Linked DNA regions of Caenorhabditis elegans. The protein of the gene in region 1 purifies or fractionates together with the protein of each later gene. This does not show direct contact. Each region holds a gene or a part of one and is shown in the gene's direction. Other genes may lie near its edges.

Region 1 (3,374 bases):
TATTATTTATTAGAAAATCCTATCTTAGTTTTGCGGAAATTTAATATTATTTTTTCAGGTGACCCAGCGCCAGCTCCTCCGGCTGCTGGAACCATTCGTATCTACAACATGCGATTCTGCCCGTGGGCTCAACGTGCTCTAATCTATGCATCTGTTAAAAATATACCGAGCGATGTTATCAATGTTCACTTGCAAGAAAAACCCGACTGGTACTTCTCAAAACATTACAAAGGACAAGTTCCGACATTGGAGCACGACGAAGGAAAGAAGCATGTTATTGAATCAGCTGTGATTCCAGAATATTTGGATGATATCTATCCAGAGACTCGTATTCTTCCAACTGATCCTTACGAGAAGGTTCAGCAAAAGTTATTGTTGGATAGAATCAGTGGACAAGTGTCACCTGCATTCTACGGAGTCGTTCAAGCTGTCAAAAATCCAGATCTCCGCGAAGAAAAATTTGCGGATATCAAGAAGGCGTATGATAATGCTGAGCAGTTATTGACTGGAGATTTCTATTCAGGTATTTTTTAAGAATTAAGATTGAGAATGCGAAACTTATAAAGAACAGAAACTAAGTTGTAGTTTTAGTCTTGTGTATTTTAAAATTATTTGAATTAATTTCAGGAACCTCAAAACCTGGATTTGTTGACTATCTTCTCTACCCGAACATTCAACGCGCTTACTGGGCAGCACACATAGTTCCAGATTTCCCATTGGAAGCTGAATCGTTCCCAGGACCAAACTATCCAAGACTATCCAAATGGTACAAGGCTCTGGAATCGATTCCAGAAGTTGCCGCTGCCAGTCAGCCAACAGAGAATGGGGTTGGATTCTTCAAGGATTACCTCGGTGGATCTCCAAACTATGACTATGGATTGTAAACATTTGTTATTATATTTTTAAACTTTGTGTTGTGGATGTGAATATGTGGAATTTAATAAAACATTTCTCGATATAATAATGATTTTGTTGAATTAGAAAAATTAGAAAAGTGGACGATTCTAAAAACAAAAGTTACAACGAAAATCATCGAAGGAAAAAACAACTGAATTCCAAAATAGTTTTCAGAGGTGATCACAAAATGTTCTCAAACGATATATATTCTACCATCAATAATTTTATTGGCACTATATCACAGTCCATAATTCCTGTGCTTTAATTATACTTTTCAGTATAGAACAATATGCTATATTATCAAGTTATGCGTCCAATAAACACAATTTATTTTTCAGACTGAATTTAAGCCATATTGAGAATAGCGAAATAAAAACGTAGAGGAAATTTGTGATCGCCATTCACAATTAATTCTTAGATCGCAATGATAACAAACTTCGATTCAAAAGTCATCATGCAAATTCACCGTTCTCGTGTGTGTGTGTTTTTGGAGGAAATAACACAATTTTGTGACTGATTTTTTTACAACATGTGGTTTGTAGCATAGTTCAAAGTCATTCTAGAGGGGGCTCAGAGGGAGTTCTTTCGCTATGTCATCGTTTGTTTTTGCACACCAAGAAAAATGAAAATAAATGCTCTAGGATGTCATGGATCGTTTCCATTCTTAATAAGTAGAAGCTAGGATTTCCTATACAAAAATAAGTAATCTTCGTTTCTACGTCTATCAACTTAAATTTTTGTATACAATCCACTTTGGTAATATTCAAGGCCTTCCTGTAAAATGTTTTATGATCAATCCGTTACACCAAGAAAACAAGTGCAATTTGTCATCATGTAGGCTTCCGCCTGTGTTTACTTCCTTCCCCCAGCACAACACTGACTATTTATACCAAATTAATAATGCAGCATTCCTCATGTGATAACTCGTTTGACTTTTATATCTTTCTACGTGCATCTTTCAAGCTCGAAAATTAATTTTAAAAATTTACATTGCAGAACAATTGCGGAACGAAGAAGCATGTCAGTCCTATCAGGATTAAACACTAAAGTTGTCAAAAATGGTACGTTATTGAGATTGTTTTTGTCTGACAACTGAATTACCAAGATTCTTTCAGGTGATCCAGCTCCAGCTCCACCAGCTTCAGGAACCATTCGTATCTACAATATGCGATATTGCCCATGGGCTCAACGTGCTCTAATCTTTGCGTCTCTCAAAAAGATCCCGACCGAAGTAATCAACATCCATTTGGATCAAAAACCAGATTGGTTTTTCACGAAACATTACAAAGGACAAGTTCCAGCACTAGAGCACGACGAGGGAAAGAAAATTGTGATTGAGTCAGCTGTGATTCCAGAATATTTGGATGATATCTATCCAGAACCTCGTATTATTCCAACTGACCATTACGAGAAAGTTCAGCAAAAGTTATTGTTGGATAGAATCAGTGGACAACTTTCTTCTGCATTCTACGGTGTTGTTCAAGCGGCCAAAATTTCTGATCTTCTCAAGGAAAAACTAGTTGAACTTGCAAAAGCATATGATACAGCAGAGGAACTCTTGACTGGAGATTTTTATTCAGGCACGAAATATTTTAATATTGAAACTAATCAGTTTAATTAAAATTAATTTAATATTTAAATCTTCAGGAACATCAAAACCAGGATTTGTCGATTATCTCATATATCCGAACATTCAACGTGCTTTCTGGACTTCCCATATCATCAAGGATTTCCCATTAAAAGTAGAATCGTTCCCAGGACCAAACTATCCGAAACTATCTAAATGGTATAAAAGATTGGATTCAATTCCAGAAGTTATTGCTACCAGCCAACCAACTGAAACAGCAGTTGAGTTCTTCAAAAGCTGGATTATTGGAGCACCAAACTTTGACTATGGATTGTAAATATCTTCTCTTCGTTACAAATTGCATATGAGTATTTGAATGTAAATAAACTTTTTGGAGAGATTGAAGCAGACTTTTTTGTTTATCCAGAAAGTAAGACAAAGAGGGAGATGCTATTAGTGACAGATGATGGTTGAGAATAAGAGAAAAAGGATGAAAACGACGAGATCTGATTGTTGTCTCTCGTCCAGTCACTTTCCATTTCATTTTTATAGAAATACTTCGGCGACGCGGATGCGTGTCTGCTTCTTGCAAACTATTCTTCCTCTTATAAAGTTGGCTTTGAGGATTTATTTTTTTTTGAAAATTGTTTTCTTTTAACTGACACCGGAGTTTTATTTCTATAGGTTTTTATGAAAAGTTTTATCATGAAGTGAACTTGTCACCTCTGTTCGGTTTCTTGTGTTTTTGATATTAAGTCTAACTGTCCCTTTTTATGAAATGTAATTTTTTTAATTTTGTATAAGCTTCATACAGTACGGACGTTTTGAACATTTGATGAGTCAGAGTTAAAGAGAAAACTGATAATTTTTTTTCCATCTTTCTCCTCACTTGTGAATAAACTAAACGCAT
Region 2 (3,780 bases), on another chromosome or scaffold:
ACCACATGATCTCTGTAAAATACTGGTGTCGCATCACTTTTCATCGCTTTGAGGAACAAAAAGTTGCGCTCATCATCCGAATCCAATGGTTTTCGGAGCTAAAATAATAGTTAAGATTTATAGATTAAAACAAACAAATTAACCTCTTGAACATTCGTTACGGGATCTCTGAATACTCTTGGATCGTACATATTTGATGTGGAAGTCGTCGAAGAAATCCATCGTTTTTGAGCGAATCGCGCCAGTTTTGTGGTCATATTTACTACAAATAACAATATTAAGTATTTGATAATTAAATTGCAAATCATGAAGCTTTGAAAACTGCAAAAATATGCGAAGAAAACTCGGAAATCAATGGAAAATCCGTGGACTCGCTCGTATTTCGACACAAGAGTGCAGTGGAGCATGCTTGCATACTCTGCGTCTCGTCTTTTTGCATAGTCTATCGTCTCAATAAACTGGGCGCGCATGCATTTCGGAGTATTGTTGCTAGACATTTATCACTTTTTGTTTTTTTCCTGTTTTCATCGGCTTTTTTCTGAATAATAATAATACAGTTTAAATAAATTAAAATTCCTTTTTCTTATTTATGACACCTTCCTTTAGCTTTTAAAATAAACCTGGTTTATTTCGTGAAGAGAAATCCTTTTCATGTCATAAACGATTTTATTTCTTGCTTCTTTTTCAGTATTTCCGCTCACTCAGCCCCCGCTCATTCCGTGGAGAATATCAATGTGTCTCGTTAACGAATTCGTATCGAATAGCAATGTAAAATCTCGTTTCAAATGTATTTATTCTTTATAAAACAAAATTATTTTCAGATGAAGCCGGCGCTCAACGTTTCTGGCGACGAAAAGGAGCTCATCCTTCAGCTGCGTCGTTATCTCGAGGAAAAGCTCACCTATCTTCTAGATCAAAATGGTACAGTCAGTATTGGAGTTTCCGGTGGATCGATGCCACGAGTCTTTTCGAAAGCTATTCTCTCTTTGCCACAAGAGCAGCTGAATTGGAAGAGGATTCGAATTTTTATGGTTGATGAGCGTAACGTTGATCTGGATAGCGAGGAAAGTAATCAGGGAGAATATTTGAGATTATTCCCGAATGAGCTCAGAGACGTTTTTGTGCCCATGCAAATTTTCAAGGATCCCTGCCTCACCGCCCAACACTATGAAATCAGTCTTCGTAAATACTTGCTCCCGGAGCAGCTCAACAATACTGCTCGTTTCGATATTCTTTTCCTTGGAGTTGGTCCAGATGGTCACACTGCAAGTATCTTCCCTGGAAAGGAGCGGCTGGAGAAGATTACCGAGCTAAATTGGGTTTCCGTCATCACAGACTCCCCGAAACCTCCACCATCTCGTATCACACTTACTTTGCAAACTCTTCAACACGCCAAAAACGTTGCTTTCATCATTTGCGGGAAACAAAAAGCGGAAATTGTACGAGGAATTTGTGATCGTGATCAAAAGTATCCGGCCGCTCAAGCACGTCCATTCAACGACAAATTGACACTATTCCTCGATGAAGACGCAGCAACTGGTGTACCGGATAGAGATTCGTCGGATTCTGACTCTCCTCCACCGTTTGACGGATGAGCAGCATCTTGTGTGATATTAAAATATATACCTAATTTCTTTTTTTTTTCTCTGTAATTTTCTCTTATTTTTTTCATTAAGTCGCATTCCTCCTTATTCCTTTAATTATGGCCATCATCAAAGAGAAACAAAAAACCACAAAAAAAAATTCAAATCGTCGTGAAAGTTTTAAATTGTTTCCGGATTTCCTCCAACTGTAAAATAAAATTGCAATTTTTGAATTTATGAAATTCAATTTTCTAAAATATTGTAAACGGTTCATTACCGTGAATTACTTTTTTTAGATGCGGAACTTCAAAAAACTACAGGATCGATCGGGGAATTTGCTCGTTTTATTCTCTTTTTCGAATGAAAATGCGATCCAATTTCAATCTCTTATAGAGTAAAAAATCGTGCCGCAAGGTTGCAAAATTACGCCCCGCCTCTATTTCTGTGCGACGTTGTTTTTTGCAAAATTCATGGATTGAAATATGTCAAAATTACTGAAATATAAGGATTATTCTAGATATTTATGCCTCTTATCATTGTTACCGGTCATCCATCGTCTGGAAAATCTACAGTTGTTGATAGATTAGCGAAGAAATTCGAGGAAAAAGGTAAAAATTGTGTATTTTCTGCTTTAAAATTTCTTAAAATTCCCATCATTCCAGGCAAAGACTATTTGATAATACGGGACGAAGATTACGGAGGATTTGATCGAAAAAACTACGAATTTTCGAATAAAGAGAAGGATCTCCGATCTTGGATTCGATCTCAAGTTCAACAGAATCTAACGAAGAATAAAGTTATAATATGTGATGCTTTGAATTATATCAAAGGATATCGATATGAATTATTCTTAGCCGCTAAGATGAGCAAAACCACGTATTGTGTCGTCGAGTGCTCGCCTCCCGTCGCCACGTGTCACTGGCTCAATGAGCAGAAGCCTGAAGTGGAGAGATATCCGAAGGAGATTATCGATCAGTTGATGATGAGATATGAAAGGCCGGATACGAAGTTGAGATGGGAAAAACCATTGTTTGAGGTTAAAATTGGTACTGCTGAGAAGTGAGATTGGAAAATTAATTGGAAAAAAAAATAATAATTGTTTCCTATTCCAGAGCCACGCCTGTAGACTTCGATGAGGATATGGCGATAGACTTGGAGCATCCTGCTCCGAGATTTGCGAGCATTTTTGAAGATGAAATTGTTGAATGGATTTGTAATGTAAGTGAATCCTAAATTATCGAATAGAAAAATAATTAGTTTTCCAGGGAACAGAGCTCACAGAAAACCAATCAACACAGACAGTCCCACTGGCGCCGACAAATTTTCTTCACGAGCTGGATCGATCCACACAAGACGTTGTTACAGTGCTTTTAAATGCTCAAAGAACTGCAGTTCGCGGTCAAAACCTGACGATTCCTGGAGCAACAGACGGAGCCAATACGATAAAGTTTATGAAATTGAGAACGCTGCCTGAGCTGAATCGACTGCGACACCAATTTGTGAACATGTCGAAGAAGGATCCGACAACTGATAAGGAGAAGATTATCACGGGATTTGTCGATTTTTTGAATTGCAATTTGAGATGATTGTTTTGTTGTTTGTTATGACTTTATTTGAAAATGCAGAAAAATAAAAATCCAAAGTTTTATCATGTATAGGCTTGTGAGTAGACGGTGAGCTGAAAACAAAATTCCGATTCATTTTAAATTTTGTAAATTTAATTACCAAGGCTTCCAGCTCAGGAATCGCTCGAACTGCACTCAATTTATATGGATTTGTATTACAGAATGTGATTGATGGGAAGTTCGACTCTACCATTCCAATCTACAATTCTTTGGCTTCAATAAAATAATAAAGATTTAAAAAAAAAAGCGATTTAAGAAATTTACATTCAGATTCACCAATTTTTGAAACGAAAAGTATTGGCGAACGGTGACGGTGATAAGGTAGACGAACAAAACGGCGCTGATAATGAGCAAGGTTGTCCAGAGAAGGATCGTTGGCCACTGGAATCATGGAATCTCTGAATTTGAAGAAATATTTGAACCTATTACTTACTGAAAGAGATTGAGCCATGTGAGGGATTCCATGCCACGAACAAGACAATCCCCACTCGTGTACAGCACTTTTTGTTTTTCTGAATCCGAAAATCTATGGAAAAAGCTAGAAATTTAGAGTTTTTTTTATCTTACGACCA
Region 3 (3,101 bases), on another chromosome or scaffold:
ATTCTTGTAATTTTTCGCGAAAATCTCCTTGACTCGCTCTTGATTCACCTGGAAATTGGGAAAGAATTAAGGAAAATTGAGGAAAAAATTAATTTTAAAAAAACCTTCTCAAACTGCTTGGCGAACCGTTTCTGTGGTCGTGGTAGATCCTCAATATCGATTGTTTCCAGCATCTCATTGTCCTTCTTTTTCTGGAAAAATTTAGCTTTTTTTATAGATTTTGTATCCAAAAAAAAAAAAAACACTTTTTTTGCAAATTTTCGGCTTTTCCGGATAAATTCACGGTTTTCAATCATTTTCCGTTAACAAATCCTTGGAAAATGGTATATTATAGATTATTAGGCTAATTTCAGAGTTTTAGCTGTTTTTTTCGGGGATCAAGTCTTTTTTTCAGTTGTAGAACTTGAAATATTCGCTGAAACTTCAAAACTGGCCTGGAAATCGATTATTTAATATTTTGAAAATTTTTTTGAAGGAAAAAAAGTCTGAAATTGCAAAAAAAACTGTCTGAATATTACAACAAAAAAAATTGAAAAAAAAAACACGAAAATTTAAAAATTAATTGAAAAATAATTTTTTAAGCCTAGAAAAATAACCTCTAAACTCTACAACTTAAATATAAACTAAATTAAATCTAAATTTATCTCCAAACTAAAGGAAAACAAAACCAGATGCGAAGCTGGCAGAGCAAAATTGTTTAGATTATATTCCAAACTTTACTTTTTTTTGTTGATTTTTTGAACTAAAATCGAATCTTGGATCGATGAATTTCACGAATTTTAGGCTTTTCCAGACGAAAAAACACTCCAAAAAATTTAAAAAAACTCACTTCAATTTGTGAGAACTTCGTCGTCTCCGTCGGCAATTTTTCCTTTGTGGCAGCTAGACGGCTCGTGCTGACAAGCCTTCGGAATGCCAGTGTCCGGCAATTGAGCACAGCGAGCATCTGATATTTATTTATTTTTTTTTTCGATTAAATTGCATTATTGTTGTCAATATCACAAGGTGTTCAAATATCAAGGGAAAATGTTTGAAGCAGCGGCATGAGATTTATATTGATTTTCATATGAAATGGGGAAATGTGTACTGAAAACTTTATGAAAAGGATAAAAAGAAAGAGGAGAAATGGATGAGTGAATGGCATTTTATATCAGAAGACACGATCTTTAGAGGAGAAAAGTGTAGGGAAAAGGTGAAAGTATTCGGTTTTTTTCATGAATTTCATAATTCCTATAATTTTCTGACAGAAAAATCAATAATTTTCTTTCACTTCCGCGTATCGAACGTGAAAACGAAACAAATTCGGGGGCATGTTTGCTTTAGAAGTCTCGCACTCGTGTGAAATGAGCTTCGGACAGAAAATCACTGATTTAATGTAAATATTCAAACATTTTTAAAAATAAATTGACTAAATTCATTGAATAATTGGAAAAAAAATTAAAAAAATCAGTACAAATCGAGGAAATCCGATGGAAAAGCAGGACGAAAAAGCATTTCATTGTTTTTGTTTCCCTGGCGCTACTTCCAAGAGGAGTACACACGAGGTGGACGAGAAAACCCTCGCGGCCGCAGTTGCCCGCGAACTTTTGAGCGTTTGAACTCTCAAACTTTTTTATCAGTTTTCAGTGACAATGAATTCAAAATCACTCTTTTCTCGAATTATTCGAAATTATTCGAAGCCTTTTCCTTTTAAGTGGATTATATTTACAAAATACACCACTAATTAAGACATTTTTCAGCAATACGATGTCGAGAAACGTGGAAATCAAGGCAAAAGTTCAAAATCTCGATGAGACGGTTCGCCGCGCCGTGGAAATTTCCGGAAAACAGCCGACTATCTTGAAGTGAGTTGAATCAGAATAGTTTTATTGGAAATCAATCATAAAAATGTTTTATTATAGGCAGCATGACATCTTTTACGAGTCACCGAATGGCCGCCTGAAGATGAGAAGCGTTGAGGAGAACGGAGTGGTAAATAATAGTTTTCTTTTTTACTTTAAAATTAAAATTTTGATTTTTCAGGCCCACACAGAGCTTATTTGGTACGATAGATCTGACGTGGCTGGCCCGAAGCTCAGTAATTTCAACAAATTCGACGTTCCATCTGAAGTTCTTGATGCTCTGAAGCTCTCCCTCCAATCCTCAATGGGAGTCAAAGGAGAGGTGAAAAAGACGAGAACTCTGGTGCTCCACGGTCAAACACGAATTCATATTGATCGCGTCGATGGGCTCGGTGATTTTATGGAGTTGGAAGTGTGCCTGTCGCCTGAAGAGACTCCAGAGCACGGAGAGAAGATAGCTCATGAGATTCGGGAGCTGCTCGCCGTGCCAGAGACCGATTTGCTCACTGGTGCCTATATGGATATGTTGAAGGCTTGAAGGCTTCAATTATTTGTTAAATTTGAATTTTTTTTTTTTTCAATAGCTCTCGGTTATATGTTGTTATTGCGGATACATAAAAGTTTATGCATCAGAAAGTTTTATATTTAATCTTGCAGGATCATAATCGCTAATCTCCACAACAACAAAAAACAATTACTTCAAAAATCTGACATCATTTTTTGTATTTTTCTCCTTCCTTTTATCGAAAACCTTATCAATAGAAATGTCATTTCAGCTTTTCGATTTTATTTTATTTTTTTTCTCTCTCTCTCTGTCTCTCTCTGTCGTTTTCCTAAAATTTCGTTGAAACAGAGAGGCTCAGACAATGAGAAAAACGCTTCACTCACTCGATTAATGTGCGAATTTGGAAGCCGGAGAGTGGAAAAAGAACGGAAACAAATAATGAATAACTGATGCCGATGTTGATTATGACTTTTTGAAAAGAAATAAAGAGGAAATTTTAGTTCAGAGATATTTTTTCATCAATTCTCACTATTTTTATGTTATTTTAACTAGTTTTACCCTAAATAATTGTGTGCAGCTTTGATTCACGTTCCCGCGATTTCTAATTTTCCAATTATCTGTGTACTGTATCCCCAAAAGTACGCGAATACAACCAATGCCCCCAATATTACGACAGAATGACACTGAAATTGTCTGAAAAACCAAGCTTGAATCTGAATTTCTACGTTTAAAATGCTAAAATTTGAGAATTCTGT

The links.
Region 2: the proteins of gsto-2 (region 1) and Y57G11C.43 fractionate together in Caenorhabditis elegans (co-fractionation; one large-scale study listed by BioGRID). This does not show direct contact.
Region 3: the proteins of gsto-2 (region 1) and F35D11.4 fractionate together in Caenorhabditis elegans (co-fractionation; one large-scale study listed by BioGRID). This does not show direct contact.

The regions. Positions count from the first base shown.
Region 1 is NC_003281.10:8,552,881-8,556,254, forward strand, and holds gsto-2 (putative glutathione transferase omega-2), read left to right. Parts: upstream 1-1,891; 5' UTR 1,892-1,915; coding exon 1,916-1,958; intron 1,959-2,012; coding exon 2,013-2,477; intron 2,478-2,544; coding exon 2,545-2,801; 3' UTR 2,802-2,864; downstream 2,865-3,374. Other genes in the region: C02D5.4 (Glutathione S-transferase omega), read left to right, coding at 59-523, 628-884. UniProt on the Caenorhabditis elegans protein: Exhibits glutathione-dependent thiol transferase activity. Has dehydroascorbate reductase activity and may contribute to the recycling of ascorbic acid. Participates in the biotransformation of inorganic arsenic and reduces monomethylarsonic acid (MMA).
Region 2 is NC_003282.8:14,767,469-14,771,248, forward strand, and holds Y57G11C.43 (Protein KTI12 homolog), read left to right. Parts: upstream 1-1,972; 5' UTR 1,973-2,106; coding exon 2,107-2,191; intron 2,192-2,245; coding exon 2,246-2,642; intron 2,643-2,695; coding exon 2,696-2,801; intron 2,802-2,848; coding exon 2,849-3,169; 3' UTR 3,170-3,231; downstream 3,232-3,780. Other genes in the region: mrps-7 (Small ribosomal subunit protein uS7m), read right to left, coding at 3-98, 144-257; Y57G11C.3 (Putative 6-phosphogluconolactonase), read left to right, coding at 733-768, 822-1,595; degl-1 (DEgenerin Like), read right to left, coding at 3,232-3,261, 3,309-3,407, 3,473-3,589, 3,642-3,720, 3,776-3,780.
Region 3 is NC_003280.10:4,601,688-4,604,788, forward strand, and holds F35D11.4 (CYTH domain-containing protein), read left to right. Parts: upstream 1-1,739; 5' UTR 1,740-1,746; coding exon 1,747-1,844; intron 1,845-1,901; coding exon 1,902-1,971; intron 1,972-2,022; coding exon 2,023-2,379; 3' UTR 2,380-2,474; downstream 2,475-3,101. Other genes in the region: coa-3 (Cytochrome c oxidase assembly factor 3), read right to left, coding at 1-48, 105-191, 830-946.